Canis lupus familiaris: one gene and its partners. The protein of the gene in region 3 interacts with the protein of the main gene of each other region in a biochemical or structural test. Links are inferred from orthologs where the notes say so. Each region holds a gene or a part of one and is shown on either strand. Other genes may lie near its edges. The genes, in order: APOE, MYLIP and LDLR.

Region 1 (4,243 bases), on a different chromosome or scaffold from region 3:
TGGAGCTTGGTGAATCTTTATTAAGCTAGGGCCCTTTCAGGAGGACAGCTGGGGGCAGGGGCAGGCCTCCTGGAGGCCGGTGGGAGCAGGCAGGGGGCACGGGAAGGAGTTGGGGGAGGCCCAGCAGGTGGCATGCGGGGCGCTCATGGTTCCTCCACAGGCTTAGAGGTGGGGATGGTGGCCACGGCCGCCTGCACCTTCTCCACCAGCCCGTCCCACTGGCGCTGCATGTCTTCCAGCAGGGGCTCGAACCAGCTCTTGAGGCGCGCCTGGAAGGCCTCGGCCTTTTGGCGTATCTGGTCGGCCTGCTCCTCCATCTTCACCCGCACCTCCTGTATCTGCTCGCGCATCTCCTCCAGGTGGCCGCGGGCCCGGCTGCTCATCTCCTCCAGCTGCCCGCGCAGCTGCTGGCCCAGGGCGTCGGCCCGCTCGAGCAGCGGCTGCGTGGCCAGGGCGCCCACCTTGGCGTTGCGCTCGCGGGCCTGCTCCAGCAGCGGCCAGAGGCGCTCGCGGATGCTGCTCACGCTGCGCTCGGCACCCTCGCGCACGCCGGCCTTGTAGACGGCCAGGCGCCTCTGCAGGTCCTCGGCGTCCCGCAGCACCCGCTTGCGCAGCTTGCGCATGTGGGAGGCGAAGCGCGCCCGCAGCTCCTCGCTGCTCTGGCCCAGCATGGCCTGCAGCTCGCCGCGGTACTGCGTCAGGCGGTTGCGCACGTCCTCCATGTCCGAGCGCAGCCGGGCCTGCGCCGCCTGCAGCTCCTTGGCCACGCGGGCCTGCGTCTCCGAGGTCATGGGGCCCAGCTGCTCGTCCAGCTCCGCCTTGTAGGCCTTCACCTCCTTCATGGTCTCATCCATCAGCGCCCTGGGGTCCGAGAGGGCGGGAGCATGTGTGTGCAGAGCTGGGGGGGGGGGGGCGGGGAACAGGGAGAAAACCCCGTGGTGCGGGAGGGCATGGTGGGGGCAGGGACGGCCAGACGCGGGGATGAAAGGGAAGGGTGCGAGGGATTGAGCTAGCCTGACGGAGGGGTGGCCAGGGGCAGGAGGAGCTGAGAGAGTCAGAGGGGTCCATAGCCAGGAGCTTGAGATGGAAAGAGGGATCGAGACATGGGCAGAGATGCCCAGACTGGCGGACGCTCCAGGAGGAACTGCCCAGCGGGAGTGTCAGGGGGCACTCACGTCAGTTCCTGGGTGACCTGGGTGTTGAGCACGCCCTCTTGCACCTGGTCAGACAGCGTCTGCACCCAGCGCAGGTAATCCCAGAAGCGGGCCAGCGCCGCCTCCCAGGGCTGGCCAGTCTGCCACCCGGCCTCTGGCTCCAGCTCCTGCTGGACCTTCGGCTCCAGCTCGCGCTCCAGCTCCGGCTCCGGCTGCACATCGGCCCAGCATCCTGCACAGAGCAAGTTCGCGGCGGTCAGCCTCCCGGCCCGCTCCAGGCCCGCAGTGCCTCGTATACAGCAGGTGCTCCACATATGCTCCCGCGCTTGCTTTAGAGCACTGGCCGTCAGGGAGCCGGTGGGGGGATGCCCAGTTCACCTGACAGGCACATGTGGAGCATCTGTGTCTGCTCCGTGCAGGGCCGTGTTGCCGTGAGGAATAAACCTACTCACGGCAGACACGAATCTAAGGCTCGCTACCTGCCTGACAACAATGCATTAGGAACTGTTGTTAACTCCCGGTTTAAGGATGGGGAAACTGAGGCCCAGAGAGAGTAAAACAACTGCTCAGAGCCAGTGGATGGGAGGCCTCAGACCTGGGCCTCCCCTCAAGGGGAAGACAGATCAGCTGAAGGTGGGACCCAGGGATGAGAGAAGGGCCCACCCCGGGGTGCAGGTGAGGATGCGAGGAAGGGGCAGGGAACCTGAGCAAGCCCCGCCCACCTACCTGCCAGGAGCGTGACCACCAGCGCAGCCCACAGAACCTTCATCTTCCAGCCTGCGATTGGTCAGTACGAGTGAGGGAGAAATGTCAATCTGGGCAGCCAGTGGGGACCCCTCCCACCCGGAGCCCCGCCCCACCCGCTCGCGGCCCACGGAGTCTTGCCCGCGCCCCCAAGTCTGCATCGGGCCGAATCCAATCACAAACATTTACCGAGCGGTCCCTCCGTTGTTGATTTAACTCCCTCATTGTCTCCTCCTATCTCCCCATCACCAGGTCGGCCTCCGCCGCCCAAATTCCATCCCCCTCTCCCAGGGGTTCAAATTCCACTCACTCTGCCCCGAGTTGCATGAGAGCCCCGACCGTGGCTTCTAAGTTCCAACCTCGCATTCCTCGTCCTCCCTTCACATTCTAAGCCCCAGCTTCACATCTAAACGTCATGTTCCACCCATGAGCTAACTTAATTCTCATTGACAAGTCCTCCGGTGAGCGCTCTGGCCACCTCGCGCCGCCCCTGGGCCTCCAAGCCCTGGAGATCTGAGGGGTCACCCGGGAAGCGCTCAAGGAATGGCAGTGACAATTCGTGGCCTGGCTCATCCGGTTCTTCGAGAGGTCCAGCTGCTCCCCCCGCCCCACCTTCCAGCCAGGACGGGATGCTCTTGCGGCCCACTCCTCCTCCTAGGTCCGACCCCTGCGTGCATCCTCTTCCCCGGCTGCTGCCTCTGCCCCGGTCCTCGCGTCTGACAGTCACCTCGCCCCAGCCCGTCGCTCCCGGGAGCCCTGAGCTGGTCTCTGTGCCCTCAACTCGGTTTCTCACCGGCTCCCGGGAATCCTCCTCCTTCGCCTCCGCTCGGGCTGAGTAGGACTCAGGGATACCAGACTCGTCCAATTATAATGTTCCCCCTGCCCCGCCCACTCCTCCCCGGCCCGGGAGCTGGGCCGGCCCCCAGTCACGAGGTGGGCTGTTCTCCCCCACCCCTTCCCACACCCGGCAGGGGGAAGGAGGGGGGTGGTTGGAGGCCCTGTGATGCCCCTCCACCCCACCCTGGCCCCCACGAAGGGAGGTGACATCTCAGTAACTCAGGCCCCCTCCTCCGCTCGGAGGGGCTAGGCACGCCAGGGAAGGAGCTGTGGCAGACCCCGGCACCCCTTCGCGCCCCTTCTTTTCTCTGATGGATGAATCAAATTTGGAAGAGGGGGCTGGGGGCTGAAATCCTGGGGCAGAGGCGAAGAGAAGGCTGGGGTTTTGGATTCCTGGGTTCCAAGGGGAGGTGGCTGGGGGTGCTGCCTAGACTCCTGGGACTCAGGGAGAGCAGGACCAGAGGCCCAGACCCAGAAGGGATGGGGGGGCACTGTGTAAACCTGGGTTTTAATCCTAGCTTCCCCTTTGGCTGTGACCTCGGGCACAGGCGAGCACCTCTCTGAGTCCCGCTTCGCATTTCCAAAATGCAGATCCAGCCCTCCTCCCTAGGAGGAACATTGTAGGTCCCGGCGCGCCCCCGCAGGATGCCCTCCGCGGGGCTATGGAGCCCTCCGGCTGCCGGGTTAGGACTGCGGACTCTGGGCCGAAACCGGGTTCCTGCCAGCTGCATGACCTTGGGCAAGCGATCGAGCTTCTCTCACCACCCTACTCCTTGCTCCACAAAACCAGGAAAATGGTCCCACTTACACCACCGTTCGGTGATGCAAGCTGCTGAGTGCACGAAATCCCGAGAACTGTTCCTGGGGCAGACGGGGCCAGCTGCTCTGATTGGCCACGTCGAGACCGTCACCTTGCTAGCAGCCCGCTTGGAGTCCTGGCTGTTCCCCAGAGAAGCCCAGGTTGAGGTGGGTGAGGCCACACGGCAAAGTAGGGCCGAGCTTCATGCCTGCTGCCTCAAGGGTGCGTGAACACTGGGTGCCGTGGGGTCCATGGAGGCCCAAAGACTGGTCCCAGGACAGCAGCCAGGCCTGGGCCTGTTTGCTTTGGCCTCAAAGGGCGCCGGCAGGAAATGAGCAGGGGTGGCTTCCCTGGGTGATGAGGGGTCATCTCTGCTCAATGGCCTCCCTCTCCAAAGCCCATTATGTGTGTGGTTTCAGTTCCGGTCTGGAGAGGTCAGGAGTGTGAGTTTACTGGAACCTGAGGTGGGCACAAGCCACACCTCTATGTCCTCCCCGTCTCCGTGCCAAGGAGGCATCTGGAGCCAGCCTGGAGTCAGACTCCAGCGTCCCCCCACCCCAGGCCCAGAAGCCCTTTGCCCCCTGAGGAGTAGCTAATGGATTCTGAAGTCTTTCCAGGTGCTGGAATCCTTCAGAAGCTTCTGAAAGCTCCAACCCTCCAGTCACGAAGAGGTCCCCCGCACATCAGCGCCCCCCCACCCCCAGCCATC
Region 2 (4,150 bases), on a different chromosome or scaffold from region 3:
CCATGATAAAACTACACAATGAAAAGTCCAATGTGTTGTAATATGTGTGTGTGTGTGTGTGTGTGTCCTCTTCTCTTACTCTACTCCATTATCTTGAAGTACAGAGTGGAAACCTTCACAAGTCTGCTTTAAGGTAAAAAAACAAAAACAAAACACAACCTATTCTGATTAACATAAACAGCTAAAACAGCCTTACTACACATGCAATCATGTGAATATTTTGCAAGAGATTTCCAAGAACACTAAGAATTTGATATACTAGCTTGCCTCAGAAATAAAACTGAACATCTCCCTCACTGTTTAAAGCTCCCTAACCAGGTAGAAGAGACATTTCAAATTCAAATGAACAGTATTTCAAAATATGTTTCCATCAGTCCTTCAGCAGAGGAGAAGAAAAAAAAAAAAAAAAAAGACATGAGAACCCTTAAAGGATTTTGCTCACTTATCATACCTTGAGATTGTCACACATTTTTCATGTGTGGTGAATTTCCAACCCAAAGGATTATGAAAAATATCAGAACTCAGATCCAAAGTTTGTTGTCTTTAAAAGTCGTTTTCTTCCTTTCTTTTTTTTCTTAACATGCCACTATAAGATTCAGGTCTCTTGCATTTCAGCAATAAATACTGAATGCCAGTTTCCTAATTTGGCTCATCCTTGAAAAGTACTACAGACAGTCCAGGGGGAGAAAACATTTTCTGTTTGAAAAAGGCACCCACGTGCTCCAGTTGTCTACCACTGCTGGTGGTTTTCTACAAGTAAAGAGATAAAGTCAAATCTAAACAATCCTGTGTTACAGATGTGTGGGTTCAAGTTCCGTTACACCGGCCCTACAGTGTTTTTCTACTAAGATTTCAAGATGCTTAAAAACTTCCAAAATTCTGCATGAAGTCAGATGGAGCGCTTTGCTACATGTTGTAATTTGACACTAGGCTTAAATTGACCAAGTTTAAGTAACCCAAGAGGAACTGTTTCCTGCTTTCTGTTAGAACCCTCTACAATGACCTGTAGTAACACTGCTGAGGCAGAGGTTACTATCGGGCATTTGATGCGGCTATCAGGAAGTCAGTTGGGTTTTTTAACCTTTTTTTTTTTTCTGCCTTGTGGCACTGATCTCCAGCGTTCACAAGAATCCAGCCCTGCCCCTTGTTGTTTATAAAGACAAAAAAAAAAACCACAAGAGACAGAAAACATACCCCAGGCCAACTAGGCGGTTCCCTCTTCACCTCAACAAAAGGGCTGAGCCGTGGAAAACTTCTCAGTTAGGAACCAACTCACTCTGTGTCAACCACGTTTGCCTGTGAACATCTCTGGGGAGGTGCAACAGCCCTTTCTAAACGGAATCAAAGGTCTATGTATGTGACATTGGTTTATTTCAGTGCCACTTTACCTCGTCTGCTCCTGTAAGATGAGATGAGGTTCCACGAAGAATTTGACTCTCAGTTTAAGCCGGTAAGGGGCTAGCCCATCCATCTGCTGGGAGATCCGATTTCTCAGATTTAGCCATAAACTTTCGCCTTTGCTACCCGTAAACTGCAGTCCAAAGTAATCAACTTCTATAATTCCCAGCCGCCTGCACACCTAGAACAGAAAAGGAGTGCAATACGGATGAGCAAATGGTCCATGTGGTCAAAGCAAACCCAAGGACACCGTCTGGGTGCAAGCTTCCTGCCTGCTTTTCACAACGTTCAACAAAGGTGCTACAATTCCTGCCTTAAGCTGTAAGAACAAAGTTCTAAGGTCCCAGTGTTGTTAAACCAACAGAGAGGCTTTGTGCTTCCTTTAACACCTAGGACACCGTCAACTGCAGTAGGGAGAAAGGAGTCCTCGAGAGTAGCCTTCCAGAAAGGCCGAGGGAGGCAATCTACAGGGTTATTTTCTCTTATTCCAATCACCGGAATCCCCTCCACCAGCACAATCCGCACCGCTGATTTGGCAGATTATCTGGACAATTTTAACCATCTGGACTCCAAGAAACAAACACGGTGAGGAAACACGCCACAAGTGTCAGCTAGGAGGTTTTCCACACAGCTCAGGTCTAGGGGGTTTGAGGGCACAGCGTTCCCCTTGAGACCAGGTTTTCTGTCTGTCATACCAACGTGCAGTTTCGAGCCATTCGTCGTTACTCCTAAGGGGAATGCGTGCTTTCAAGGCGACGGAGTGGGTGACCCAAACCCGCGGCCCTCCGGGGCCCCGCAAACCGGGAGGTGCAGGTGGACGGTGCATTGGAGAAGCAGCAAGAGACAAGAGCGTCGCCTGTCTGCCCAGCAGCCACCTCATCTGGGGGCTCAGGTGGCACCGCCAGACCCCGCGGGGGACCCGACAGGCGGCATCATGCACACACCTGCGGCAGGTGTGCCGGGCCGCCTTCTTCCGGGAAAGTGCGGGGCTGGGGGGGGGGGGGGCAGCCCGCCGCGCGCGTCCCCCCCGCCCCCCCCCCCTGCGCGCTGCCAGCCTGCGGGGACCGCGGGCCCCACGGCCGCGAGGAGGAGGAGGAGGAGGAGGAGGAGGAGGGGGGGGGCGCTCCCCGCCGGGCCGCCGCAGCGCCGTCCGCTCCCCGGGAGGCTCCTGGCGCCGCCGCGAGGCCCCTCGGCCTCTGGGGACCGCCGCCCCCGCCCGGCCCCGGCCGTCACCTGGTTGAGGCAGTCCTCGCCGTTGGCTTTCGCCTCCACCTCCACCTCCATCAGCACCGCGTCCGGCCTCGTCACATAGCACAGCATGGCTGGGGCCGGCGCTGCCGCCGCGGCCGCCTCCTCCTTGTGCGCGCGGGGCTGCCGCCTCGCCGCGGCTCACAGGCAGCCCCGGGCTCGGCGACGCTGGCCCCCGGGAGGCTGCAGCGCCGCAGACCGCCGCCCCGCGCCCCCGCCCTCCGCCCGCGCGCCGGCCGCCCGCCCGCCCGGGTCCCCGCGGCGGCGCCGCACTCCAGCAGCCCGACTGCCTGCGGCGCGCCGGGGACTCCGCTCATATAGTGGCCCCGCCCCCTCCGGCGGCGGCCCCAGCCAATCAGCGGCCGCGCCCCGCCTCCGCCGCCGGGCCAGCCAATAGCGGCGCCCGCTCGGCCGCGGCTGAGTTCCCCCGGGCGGCCCGGGAGGTGGCGGCGTGCGGGCGCGGAGGGCTGCGCGGGGAGGGGGCCCGGGGTCCGGGGCCCGGCCGTCCCCGCCCCCGCCCCCGCCCCCGCCCCCGCCCCCGCCCCCGCCCCCGCCCGCTGCGCGACGCTGCTCCGAGCCGGGCGAGCGGCCCCGGGGCTGGGGCGCCCCTCTGCCTGCCTGGGATCCACCGTTCTCCAGGAGCCTTGGGTCGCTGCGAGAACGCCTACGGGAGGTGAACGTCCAAGGCAAAGGGAGCAACCCCCGAGCCCGGAGCAAACTGCCCCCGCGCCCCCCCGGGGGTTGCCGCCGTGGGCTGTTGGAAGGCGGAAGGATCGCTCCTCATTTTAGACCTCGGCGGTGGGGGAAAAAAAAAATCTGAGTATAAAAGTTTTTCTGTTTTTTGTTTTTTTTTGCAGGGCCACCTGTGTGGCTCAGTGGTTGAGCATTTGCCTTCGGCTCAGGTCGTGGAATCGAATCCCCCAGGGAGCCTGCTCCTCCCTCTGCCTGTGTCTCTGCCGCTCTCTGTCTCTCTCTGCGTCTCTCATGAATGAATAAATAAAATCTTTTTTTTTTTTTTTTTTTTCAGTTGACCACTGAGCTGCATCTAGCGTGGAGCTGGATCTAGCACTTCAGCATAAATCTTCTCCAGAAGCTTCTGTTTACAGGTTGTACTGAATCAAAACACCTTATGGGGCTCCAAGGCCCTCTCTCGTTCATCCTGTCTCGTGCGTTATTCATTCATTAAACGTTAATTGAGCACTTGCTGTGCTGCCGGTCCCTTCTCTCAGGCAACCAGATGTTATCCCCATCTTGAAGGTTAGGGACTTATCTCAGAACCTAACAGGTGGTAACCTCAGCAGTAGCTATTAGTAATTAAAGGCCTCCTAGTCTTCACTCATTTACTACTTGTTCCTTTTTGCCAATGCACGAGTTAGCCTACTCTTTGGTTTCTTTATAGGAGAAATGAGATGCGGGTTTCAGTCTTGGATCCTTGGAAAGCCTGCTTCATCTCTCTGAAGTTCAGTGTTTTCAACAGTAAAATGGAAAGCACAATATCTGCTCT
Region 3 (3,500 bases):
CCTGGAGGTCCTCGCTGATGACGGTGTCATAGGAGGAGAAGCTGGGGGCTCTGTCGATTTGGGTGCTGTCAGTGGGAGAAGGGGGAGCAGAACGTCAGTACGAGGGGCCTGTTTCACCTGGGTTAGGGGGCTGGGTGGAGCTCCAAGGCTCACCTGTAGATCTTCCTTTGGGACAGGTCGGACCAGTAAATTCTGTTGCTGGCCACCTCTGTGTCCAGGGCGACGACGTTCTTCAAGTTTGGGATGAGGCTGGTATATTCGGTGCGGTCCAGAGTCATCTTCCTCACCTCATGGCGATTGGTGAAAAAGAGGTAGGCGATGTTGCCTGGGGACACAGGAAGGATGCTCAGGGGAGCAGAAGGCCCCCTGACTCGAGCTTGTCACCCTTGGGGGGTCTGGCTGAACCAGGGGAGACACCCAGGATGCCATGGGAAATGCCTCGTTGGTGTATAAACCATGTGGCTCCAGGGGCACCTGGGTGGCTCAGTGGTTCAGTGTCTGCCTTTGGCTCAGGTTGTGATCTCTGGTTCCCAGAAATCAAGTCACGCATCAGACTCCCCAAATGGAGGCTGCTTCTCCTCTGCCTATATTTCTGCCTCTGTCTCTGTGTCTCTCATGAATAAATACATAAAATCTAAAAACAAAACAAGACCATGTGGTTCTGATGCTCTGACATCCGAGGCCTTGCAGAGCCTGAAAGGACAGCCCCTCCCAGGGCCAACCAGCTCCTAGGGATGGTTCATGACTTGCCTTGAAAGCAAACTCTCCAGCCCATGTCCGCCACCCCTCCACTGGGCTCTCACGCTCTGGGTCGCAACCCCTCCGCCTGCTTCAGTCACCACAGGGCAGGTACCAGACAACCAGGGGCAGCCGCTCTGCCCCAGAGCCCGCTGAGATTATTCAGACTACCTAGTCCTGAGCTTGCTCACCCTGCTTCACCTCATGCCCAAGGAAACCATAAGGGAGGCTCTGGCCCATGTGATCCCCCTTCTCTTCCTCCACCTCCTGACTGACCCTGGTGCTTCCCCAGCTGGCCGCCTGGCTGCCATGGCCCTCCTCTTGGGAACTGTGAGTAACAACCGATCATTTCAATGGTGGCCGTCTCCTGATTGGTTGGCCTTGCCATACTTGAATGATAATAAAGCCTACATTGGTAATAAAATCCACACTGGGGCCCCAGCATTTTACATTTTGGAACGTAAAGATGAAGAAACGAAGGGCATCTAGGTGGCTCAGTCGGTTAAGTGTCTGCCTTCAGTTCAGGTCATGATCTCAGGATTCTGTGATGGAACCCTGCGTCAGGCTCCCTGCTCAGTGGGGAGCCTGTTTCTCCCTCTCCCTCTGCTCCACCCCGTTCATGCTTGCTCTCTCTCTCTCAAATAAATAAATAATCTTTAAAAAAAGAAGAAGAAGAAGAAGAAACATTAACAGCTAATGTGTATAGAGCTATTCCTTAGGGCAGGAAATTCTGCTTAAGTGCTTTTCCTATTATATTTTCCCTCATTGGTCCTCACACTCCTATGAGACCAGGGCTACTGTCAAACTCCCATTGTATGTGAGGGGATTGAAGCTCAGAGAGGAGAAGGGACTAGCCCAAGGTCATACCAGCTAGTAAGTGGCAGAGCTGGAATTTGAACACACATTGCCCTGTCCCTGGGGACTCTGCTGTTAACCATGATGCCAATATTCACCAACAAGCTAACCATGTGTACAATGGACCTCGCTCAGAATACCCCTTCCCACGACACCATGTGCCCCTTACCCCCTGAAAGGCACCTGTATAGACATCAGCCCATAGATATTGGAAGGAAAGTGAAACTTCAAATCCTAGAGGGTTTCATGAGCTCAGTCTTTGGTTTTCCCCAAAACTGGGAAATGTGTGGGGGTATGAGCAAGGGAGGCCAAGGAACCGTCACAAAAGGGGTGATAACACAGGAGAAAGACTTCAAGGCTAAAACAGACCTTGAGGAAACAGAAGTTGATCTAAAATATTTCTGCAAACTTGTACCTCATTAGAATCAGACAGGTGGGTAATGACATGACACAAAGCAAAGGGAAGTTTGGCTATGCCTCCAAACACATGGGATCTCTTGATTTGGTGATTCTGAGAATCAGCGCATGAGTGCCGTTCTAATCTTAAGTTTGTTTGTTTTTATTTATTTGAGAAAGAGAGAGAGAGAGAGAGAGCACAAGCAAGGGGAGGGGCAGAGGGAGACAGAGGAGCAGACTCCCCACTGAGCAGGGAGCCCAATGTGGGCTCGATCCCAGGACCCCGGGATCATCACCCAAGCCAAAGGAAGATGCTTCACCAACTAAGCCACCCAAGCACCCTATAATCTTAGATTAGGTAGAAAAGAACCTCAACTATTGCTGCAGGTTTTGTTTTTTTTAATACTTTATTTATTTATTCATGAGAGACACAGAGAGAGAGGCAGAGACACAGGCAGAGGGAGAAGCAGGCTCCATACAGAGAGCCTGACGTGGGACTCAATCCCGGGTCTCCAGGATCACACCCTGGGCTGAAGGCAGTGCTAAACCGCTAAGCCACCCGGGCTGACCTGTGATTTGGTTTTCTTATGAGAGATTATACCTTGGTCTGTATTAAGTGAATTTTCTTTTTGGGTATAGGTTCCTGTAAGTGAATAAGAACAGCTGGAGGGGGGGCAGCCCCGGTGGCGCAGCGGTTTAGCGCCGCCTGCAGCCCGGGTCGTGATCCTGGAGACCCGGGATCGAGTCCCATGTCGGGCTCCCTGCATGGAGCCTGCTTCTCTCTCTGCGTGTGTCTCTGCCTGTGTCTCTGCCTCTCTCTCTCTCTCTGAATAAATAAATAAAATCTAAAAAAAAAAAAAAAAAAAATCAAGGGATCCCTGGGTGGCGCAGCGGTTTAGCGCCTGCCTTTGGCCCAGGGCGCGATCCTGGAGACCCGGGATCGAATCCCATGTCGGGCTCCCTGCATGGAGCCTGCTTCTCCCTCTGCCTGTGTCTCTGCCTCTCTCTCTCTCTCTCTCTCTCTCTCTGTGACTATCATAAATAAATAAATAAAATCTTTAAAAGAAATAAAAATAAATCTATCAATATCACTTAAAAAAAATAAAGCTGGTTCCCAACAATGGTGAATGTTACCGATGTATTGATAGAAATAAAACTCACCCTTTAAAAAAAAAAAAAGAACAGCTGGAGGGGGTGCAGGCCCTTCAGGCCATGGCTTTTCACCTCTTGTACCCTGAAGCCACTGGCAGGGCTGAGGGCTAGAAACCAGCACTCATGCAACTGACCTGAGTCTGCAGGGAAGCAAGACATGTGAGAGCAGCCTCCTAGAAAGTTCCTAATTGGCCTGCTCATCCATCTGCCAGAGGTCTCTGCAGGACACAGTGTGCCCTTCTCCCCCCACCAGCCCCACCCCTGCCCCACTGGTCCCACCCCTTGCTCACCCACAGCCTTGCAGGCCTTGGTGTGGGGGTCCAGCTGGAAGCCCTCCTCACACTCGCACTTGTAGCTGC

What was found.
Region 1: the proteins of LDLR (region 3) and APOE interact in a biophysical measurement, tested with the Homo sapiens proteins (2 studies listed by IntAct). The link is inferred for Canis lupus familiaris from reciprocal best matches to the Homo sapiens genes LDLR and APOE.
Region 2: of the proteins of LDLR (region 3) and MYLIP, one has a biochemical effect on the other in vitro, tested with the Homo sapiens proteins (4 studies listed by BioGRID, with this or other methods). The link is inferred for Canis lupus familiaris from reciprocal best matches to the Homo sapiens genes LDLR and MYLIP.

What each region holds. Positions count from the first base shown.
Region 1 is NC_049222.1:111,234,405-111,238,647, forward strand, and holds the start of APOE (apolipoprotein E), read right to left. Parts: upstream 2,801-4,243; 5' UTR 2,692-2,800; exon of another isoform or gene 2,626-2,691; intron 1,943-2,625; exon of another isoform or gene 1,932-1,942; 5' UTR 1,924-1,931; coding exon 1,881-1,923; intron 1,387-1,880; coding exon 1,176-1,386; intron 862-1,175; coding exon 144-861; 3' UTR 1-143. UniProt on the Homo sapiens protein: APOE is an apolipoprotein, a protein associating with lipid particles, that mainly functions in lipoprotein-mediated lipid transport between organs via the plasma and interstitial fluids.
Region 2 is NC_049256.1:16,553,781-16,557,930, reverse strand, and holds the start of MYLIP (E3 ubiquitin-protein ligase MYLIP), read right to left. Parts: upstream 2,801-4,150; 5' UTR 2,719-2,800; coding exon 2,632-2,718; intron 1,580-2,631; coding exon 1,389-1,579; intron 1-1,388. UniProt on the Homo sapiens protein: E3 ubiquitin-protein ligase that mediates ubiquitination and subsequent proteasomal degradation of myosin regulatory light chain (MRLC), LDLR, VLDLR and LRP8. Activity depends on E2 enzymes of the UBE2D family.
Region 3 is NC_049241.1:50,529,175-50,532,674, forward strand, and holds part of LDLR (low-density lipoprotein receptor), read right to left. Parts: coding exon 3,432-3,500; intron 326-3,431; coding exon 154-325; intron 66-153; coding exon 1-65.